Anolis sagrei: one gene and its partner. The protein of the gene in region 2 interacts with the protein of the main gene of each other region in a biochemical or structural test. Links are inferred from orthologs where the notes say so. Each region holds a gene or a part of one and is shown on either strand. Other genes may lie near its edges.

Region 1 (3,915 bases), on a different chromosome or scaffold from region 2:
GCAATGGAACAGTGGCTTCAAACTACAGGAAAGGAGTGTTGAGAATATCTGTATGTGTGTTTTGATTAACGGTATTGTAGTTTTCAAAGTTAGTGATTATGTGCTTAGAAATGTTATGCTTTGTAATGCAATGTGCTGGAGGTTGTAATTCCTGTGTGGAAAGGGCCAACTGTATTGTGAAGGAGGAATCGTAAATCCGAGTGCAGAAAGTGTTGTATGCTGTCTAGCATCGAGAGTGTCATACGTCATCACGTCACTAAGGAATGTGGGAGTGTGCCGTATTCTTGATTGCAACGAAGAGCCGAGCCATGTAGATGTTTTTGTTTCTCATTCTGTTTAGTTCTAGTGTAAATATGTTTTGTGTTAAAAAAACTAGGTTTTTAGACAAGAAGATGTGTTTCAGTGCCTTGTGTGTGCAGAGATCATCGCCGTTCCATTAACAAGGAGATTCCACTTGAACGTTGAATGGGATTGTGGTGCAGCTGGCTGAGTGTCAGCTGCATTAAGATCACTCTGACCAAAAGGTCAGGAGTCTGAAGCCAGCCCGGGTTGGAGTGGGTTTCCAACCAATTATGTGTAGCCTGTTGTCGACCTTTGCAACCTGAAAGACTGTTGCATCTGTCAAGTAGGAAAATAAGGTACCACCTCAAAGTGTGGGGAGGCTAAATTAACTCATTTATGAGGCCATAAAAAAGACTCCAGCAAAGCATTCCAACAGGGAAGCATGCGGGAATGCGGAAGTGCTTCATCAGCATCGCAGATGGACGATGAAAGCGACAGCTCCCCGGTGGCCAGAAAAAGTTAAATAGCCTCTGTGTATGTCTGTATATGTTTGTATGTCAAAAATTGGCATTGAATGTTTGCCATATATGTGTACACTGTAATCCGCCCTGCGGGGTGAGGAGAAGGGCGGAATAGAAAAGCTGTAAATAAATAAATAAATAAATAAACGTTAAGAAGGATATCCTAACTGTGAGAGCTGTTCAGCCGTGGAACTCTCTGTCCCAAAGCCTTCTTTGGGGGCTTTGAAACAGAGGGTGGATGGCCATCTGTCGGGAGTGCTTTGAATGCGATTTTCCTGCTTCTTTTTAGAATGGAGTTGGACTGGATGGCCCACAAGGTCTCTTCCAACTCTAGGAGTCTGTGATTCTAAAGATGGAAATAGTAAGTCAGATGGCTTGATTCAGCTCCAGCTTCTCAAATGGAACCCCGGTGACGTTCTTGCATCATTGAAGGACAGAAGCACAAGTTGAGCTTCTAGCAGGGACTTTTTAATTTGCAGAAATTAAATCAGATTTAGCAGTTTATCTAGCAAATGCCAAAGAATACGACGGAGGCGTGACTAGTGGGTGGCTTGGGGTTTGTCCTGACCTTGTTGCTACTCAATGTTTTTATCTATGACTCATTTCAGGACAACAACAAAAGGAATTCCGTACATTACAACCCTCATTTCCATTGGGAATATGTTCAAAACTCATCTATGCATACCTGAAACACACCTTGTATTTTGATTATACTTGTTGCCAGATACATAGCATAGAAATGCACTGCAAAGGTCTTCAAACACTTCCAGAGTGGGACAATTTTTGGAAAATAGTGGATATTGAATCTGCCTTGGATGTGGAAACCTGGCGCTGATCAGACTGGGAGGTAAGACGGGTTGAGACCCGGCATGAGCAAACTTCCTCCCTTCAGGTGTTTTGGACTTCCACAATTCCTAACACCCTAAAATTGGACACCTTGATTAGCATTTAATAGCCTTGCAGCATCAAAGCCTGGCTGAAAGGATGGAAGGGTTTGCCTTTGCTTCTCCCTGAGGCTGAGAGAGTGTGACTTCCCTAAGGTCACCCATTGGGTTTGCATAGCCGAGCAGGGATTTGAACCCTGCACTCCAGATTTGTATCCCAACACCACAGAGATGTAAAGGAACCGAAGGAATTACAGAAGAGAACTCCAGAGGCCATCTAGTCCACCACCTTTTGCAATGCAGGAGAATCACAATCAAAGCACTCCCAACAGATAGCCATCTAGCCTCTGTTTAAAAGCCTCCACTGGATCAGAATTCATGCCTCCAGCACAGGTAAATTTGAGCCTTCCAAGTGTTTTGGACTCCAACTCCCACCATTCCTAACAGCCTCAGGCCCTTTCCTTTTCCGCTTAAGCGGCTGAGGGGGAAAAGGAAGGGGCCTGAGGCTGTTAGGAATGGTGGGAGTTGGAGTCCAAAACACCTAGGACAAAGTTTGCACATGCCTGGGTTAGACTATATGATCTTTGGAATCCCCTTGGAGTCTACACTTCTATAATGTCCTAAAATTGCATTTGAATTGGTTGTCTGTCTGGCAAGCTTATGAGACAATCAAATCCAACCCTGCAGACATACATACCATGCAAACCCTGCAAAATTCCTTGCTCGGAGGTCCCATTTGGGTCGGTCCCTATGGACCCTCTCTTCTGCCGCTTACCTTCCTTCTGCTTCATGGCTCCTTAAGTGTCTGAGGTCCAAGGTCCAACCTGCGGTGGCAGCTTCACCTGGAGACCCGCCTTTTTGGAAATGAGATCGTGGGAGCTTAATGTTTAAACGGGTCAGGAGACTTTACAAGGCTGGCCTCTCCACCTTCGAGAGAGATAAGCAAGGAGAGGGAAACTCTCTTGTCATTTTCTTGGCAGGGAAGGTTCAACTCTGGACACATTTTGTGCCGTAGGGAAATGAGATGCACAGGAGGAAAACGGTGACGGACTTCGATCAGGAAGAAGGTTATTTCTGAAAACAAACAGGTGGGAAAGGGGTAAAGCAAAAGGAAATTAAAATGAGAGTGTTTACCTTTCTGCCCGCATCATTTTCTATTATTAGTATGTTATGTGACCAACAACCAAACAGATCCATCTGGATCCAAGGAAGATACTATGATGAGGGAGTCAGCTATTGTTGGAGCTCAGCCTGTGATTGTGTTTCAGGATCAGGGTGCTTTGGATGTGGGGAGTGATGTTAATGAGGTTCAAGATGGATTTCAAGATGGCAATGGTTTGGCCAGTGATATTGATGCAGCGAATGACCAGTAGATCCCTGTTCAAAGTGTAGTTTCCCATGAGAATGTTCCTGAGGGGTGTGGAGATGATGGTGTGCTTTCTTAATTGTTACCAAAGAGTTCCCATGAGAAAGGACATGAAAACAGCTCGGCACCTGGCCCAGCTGCAGAAATTAAGGGGCAAATTGATAGACTAGAGGAGATCAGTCGAAACAGGAGAGCCGAACAGTAGCTTCGGCGTTCTGCCAGGCTCTGACAGAAAAAGATAAATTCTCAGCTAAGCGAAACCAATTTCTGAGCACTGGTGACATAATTAACAAGGAGAGAAAAGTCCCAAGTTTAGGATATGTAGTCTGATGAAGGATCATTTGGAATCAAGTGTTGGGAATCAGCCTGTTTGTTTTCCAGGATCATAATGCTTATGATGAGAGTAATGATGGTGCTGAGACTGAGGTGCAAGATAGAGATGGTTTGGTCAATGATTTTCATACAGACAATGACAGAGAGGCCCCAGTGCAAAGGGCAGTTTCTCATGAGAATATTCCTGCTGAGCCTCGGGATGATGGTTTACTCCCTCTTTCTGTGAGCTCTCAAGATTTGGGTTTGGAAAACAATCTGACACCTGGAAATTTTAATGAGCAGCCAGATAGGGAGTTGAAGGATAGGCAGCTGGAGATCAGCCAGGATTGACAGCAAACTCAGTGTTTACGTCGCTCTGAAAGGCTTCGTCAGATAAGGGGCAAGTGTGGGGGAAAGCCAAACCAATTTCTGGGTTTTGGGATATAAGGTTTGCTTCGAGGGAAAACCTCTTAGATCAGGCATCGTTTGGAAATTAGGTTCATGTGCCATGGAAATCCTGTTTAAGAGGGCTTGTTCATGTGGAGAATTT
Region 2 (3,915 bases):
TAGTTGAGACTTGATGAGATATTCATTGAAAAACTATAGCAAAATGTGCTGCAGGATGTACTTTTCCATGTTTGTATGATAGAACCAATGAGAAAATGACCTTTATAACTTCAGGAACAAAAGATTGTGTTATATAGCATAATCTGGGATCAGATCCTGGGATCTGGCCCACTGTAGACCAGGGGTCCTCAAACTTTTTAAACAGAGGGCCAGGTCACAGTCCCTCAAATCATAATCCAGAGGGCCAGATTATAATTTGAAAAAAGCATGAATGAATTCCTATGCACACTGAACATGTCTTATTTGTAGTGCAAAAAACACTTTAAAACAATACAATAATTGAAATGAAGAACAATTTTAACAAATAGAAACTTATTAGTATTTTAATGGGAAGTGTGGGCCTGCTTTGGCTGATGAGTTAGGATTGTTGTTGTTATGTGCTTTCAAGCTGTTTCAGACTTAGGTTGACCCTGAGTGAGGGCCGAGTAAATGAACTTGGAGGGCCGTATCTGGCCCTTGGGCCTTAGTTTGAGGACCCCTGCTGTAGACCAAGGCCCCTTCTATGCTGCCATATAATCCAATTATCAATGCTGATAATCCACATTATCTGCTTTGAACTGGATTATATGAGTCTACATTGCCATATAATCCAGTTCAAAGCAGATAATATGGATTTTAGGGGGTAGTGTAGAAAGAGCCCTAGCCTTTGGGCTCTGTGTCAGAATGAGCAAGGAGTACATCCCGCAAGTGAGCCAAAAGGCAATTTATACCAAAGGTGAACTTGAACTTGGGGAGGGATGCTCAATAAAACTGCATGAATTTGAAAAGTATGGTTTATTCTGGATCCCCACTGCTCTATACCCCAGGATCTGATCCCAGATTATCTGCTTTGAATTGGATTATATGCTTCTACATTGTCAGATAATCTGGGATCAGATCCTGGGATATAAGACAGTGTAGATCCAGCCCCAGCAGCACCTGCCAGCATTACAAAGCATCAGTGATGAGAGGGAGCAAAGGGCACTGAGAAGAACCAGGGCAAGGAGTTGATGGAAGAGGAATCTCTCTCCTTTTTTCCTTCTCCTTCTCCTCAGTGATGAGAGGGAGCTAAGGGCACCGGGAAGGAAGGGGGGAAGGAGTTGATGGAAGAGGATTCTCTTTCCTTCTCCTTCCCTTTCTTCTCCTTCTCCTCCTTTCTCCTTCTCAGTGATCAGAGGGCACTAAGAGCACTGAGAAGGACAAGGGCAAGGAGTTGATGGAAGAGGGCTCTCTCTCTCCTTCTCCTTCTCCTCATCCTCCTCCCCCTCCTTCTGAGTGATCAGAGGGAGCTAAGGGCACTTAGAAGGAAGGGGACAAGGAGTTGATGGAAGAGGGCTCAATCTCCTCCTCCTCCTCCTCCTCCTCCTCCTCCTCCTCCTCCTCCTCCTCCTCCTCCTCCTCCTCAGTGATCAGAGGGAGCTAAGGGCACCGAGAAGGAAGGAGGCGAGGAGTTGATGGAAGAGCTCTCTCTCCTTTCCCCCTTCTTCTCCTCCGTCTCCTCCTTCTTCACTTTCTTAGTGATCAGAGAGAGCTAAGGGCACTGAGAAGGACGGGGCAAGGAATTGATGGAAGAGGACTCTCTCCTTCTCCCTCTCCTCCTCCTCCTCAGTGATCAGAGGGATCTAAGGGCACTGAGAAGGAAGGAGGCAAGGAGATGATGGGACTCTCTCTCCTTCTCCTCCTCCTCCTTTCCCCCTTCTTAGTGATCAGAGGGAACTAAGGGTACTGAGAAGGAAGGAGGCAAGGAGATGTTGGGACTCTCTCTCCTTCTCCTTCTCCTTCTCCTCCTCCTCCTCCTTTCCCCCTTCTCAGTGATCAGAGGGAGCTAAGGGTACTGAGAAGGAAGGAGGCAAGGAGATGATGGGACTCCCTCTCCTTCTCCTCCTCCTCCTCCTTTCCCCCTTCTTAGTGATCAGAGGGAGCTAAGGGCACTGAGAAGGAAGGAGGCAAGGAGATGATGGGACTCTCTCTCCTTCTCCTCCTCCTCCTCCTCCTTTCCCCCTTCTTAGTGATCAGAGGGAGCTAAGGGTACTGAGAAGGACGGGAGCAAGGAGTTGATGGAAGAGGACTCCCTTCTCCTTCTCTTTCCCCTCCTTCTTCCTCTTCTCCTCCTTCCCCTCCTCTTCCTCCTCCTCCTTCACCTCCTCCTTCTCCTTCTCTTCCTACTCCTTCTTCACTTTGTTCTCCTCCTCCTCCTTCTCCTCTTTCTCCTCTCTCTCCTCCTGTGGGAACCAACCTCCTCTTCCCTCTCCTCCGGCCAACTGTTTCCAGGACTGACCTATCGGCATTTGGCCGCTCTTTGCCAAGGCCAGCTCCCGATGAAGCAGGAGGAGATGGGAGGCAGCCCCGCGCTCCTCCCAAACAATCCATAACTTCGCTTCGGACAATGCTATTCCCATTCCTTTGGACAACACAAATCCCTCCTCAAAGCGCCCCTGAGAGTCGGGCAAAGGGCTCAAGGGGTGATGCTTGCTTCCTTGCCAAAGCGAAAAGGATCAGTTTGGGGGCGATCTCCCCCATTTCTTTCTTTCTTTCTTTTTCCCCCCAAGCCCCGCTCACCTGAAGAACAGCTTGGAGAACACGTTCGCCTTCTCCAGCGGCGACCTCTGCATGGCTCCTTCTGCTTCGGAGGCGGCAAGAGGCGGAGAGGGAGAGCTGGCCTTCGCAGGAGGAGGAGAAGGAGAAGAAGGAGAAGGAGAAGGGTTTTCGGCGCCCTATGGGTCGCGCTTTTCTCCCCCCTTAAGGCTGGCCGAGGTCCCCGCCTCCCTCTTTCTCCTGCCCTTCTCCCCGCCTCTCGGACTCCGCCGGGCTTCAAAAGCCTGCCCTCGCCTGCCCGCCCCGAACTCCTCCGCAGGAAAGCGCCTCGACAGGTGCCTCTCGGGGCTGAGAAAGGCGCTCTTGCCTCTGCCTCCTCCTCTTCTTCTTCCTCCTCCTCCTCTGCCAAGCCTTCCCGGTGCAACCCCATGGAGAGCTTTGCCAAGGCTCTTCTACATTATGCTCACCGGCAGGCTCAACACATCAACAGTTCTTTCCTCTCGTGATACCTATGAAAAGATCAAGGTCCCAGAACCCTGTTGGAAAGCATTGCCAAACTCAGTACAGGTGGATATTGTGGCAATAGTGCACTCTTGATGCCATTTGAACTGCTATAGAATTACACTAGTATGTAACACAATTCAGACATGTGTTGTCGAAGGCTTTCACTGGGTTGCTGTGAGTTTTCCGGGCTGTATGGCCATGTTCCAAATGCATTCTCTCCTGACTTTTCGCCCACATCTATGGCAGGCATCCTCAGAAGTTGTGAAGTCTGTTGGAAAATAGGCAAGGGAGGTTTATATCTCTGTGAAAGGCTCAGGGTGAGAGAAAGAACTCTTGTCTATTGGAGGCAGTGGTTCCCAACTACTTGACCAAATACCACTTTGTGTCCCCAAGGAACCCTTTGACCAGGGACCACTTGAGCAGGGACCTCTTTGATCAGAGACCACTTTGACCAGGGACCACTTTGACCAGGAACCATTTTGACCAGGGACCACTATGAGCAGAGACCACTTTGACCAGGGACTACTTTGAACAGAGACCACTTTGATCAGGGACCACTTTGACCAGGGACCACTATGAGCAGGGAGCCCTTTGACCAGGGAGCTCTTTGACCAGGGACCACTTGACCAGGGACCACTTTGACCATGGACCTCTTGACCAGGGACCACATTGGTCAAGGAGCCCCTTGACCAGGGCCCTCTTGACCAGGGAGCTCTTTGACCAGGGGCCACGTTGGCCAAGGAGCCCTTTAGCCAGGGACCGCTTTGACCAGGGACCACTATGAGCAGGAGCCACGTTGACCAGGAACCACGTAGACCAGGGAGCCCTTTGGCCATG

The links.
Region 1: the proteins of CFTR (region 2) and NHERF4 form a complex in vitro, tested with the Homo sapiens proteins (2 studies listed by BioGRID and IntAct, with this or other methods). The link is inferred for Anolis sagrei from reciprocal best matches to the Homo sapiens genes CFTR and NHERF4.

The regions. Positions count from the first base shown.
Region 1 is NC_090027.1:39,533,432-39,537,346, forward strand, and holds the start of NHERF4 (Na(+)/H(+) exchange regulatory cofactor NHE-RF4), read right to left. Parts: upstream 2,589-3,915; 5' UTR 2,479-2,588; coding exon 2,385-2,478; intron 1-2,384.
Region 2 is NC_090025.1:130,805,557-130,809,471, forward strand, and holds the start of CFTR (cystic fibrosis transmembrane conductance regulator), read right to left. Parts: upstream 2,711-3,915; 5' UTR 2,652-2,710; coding exon 2,599-2,651; intron 1-2,598. UniProt on the Homo sapiens protein: Epithelial ion channel that plays an important role in the regulation of epithelial ion and water transport and fluid homeostasis. Mediates the transport of chloride ions across the cell membrane.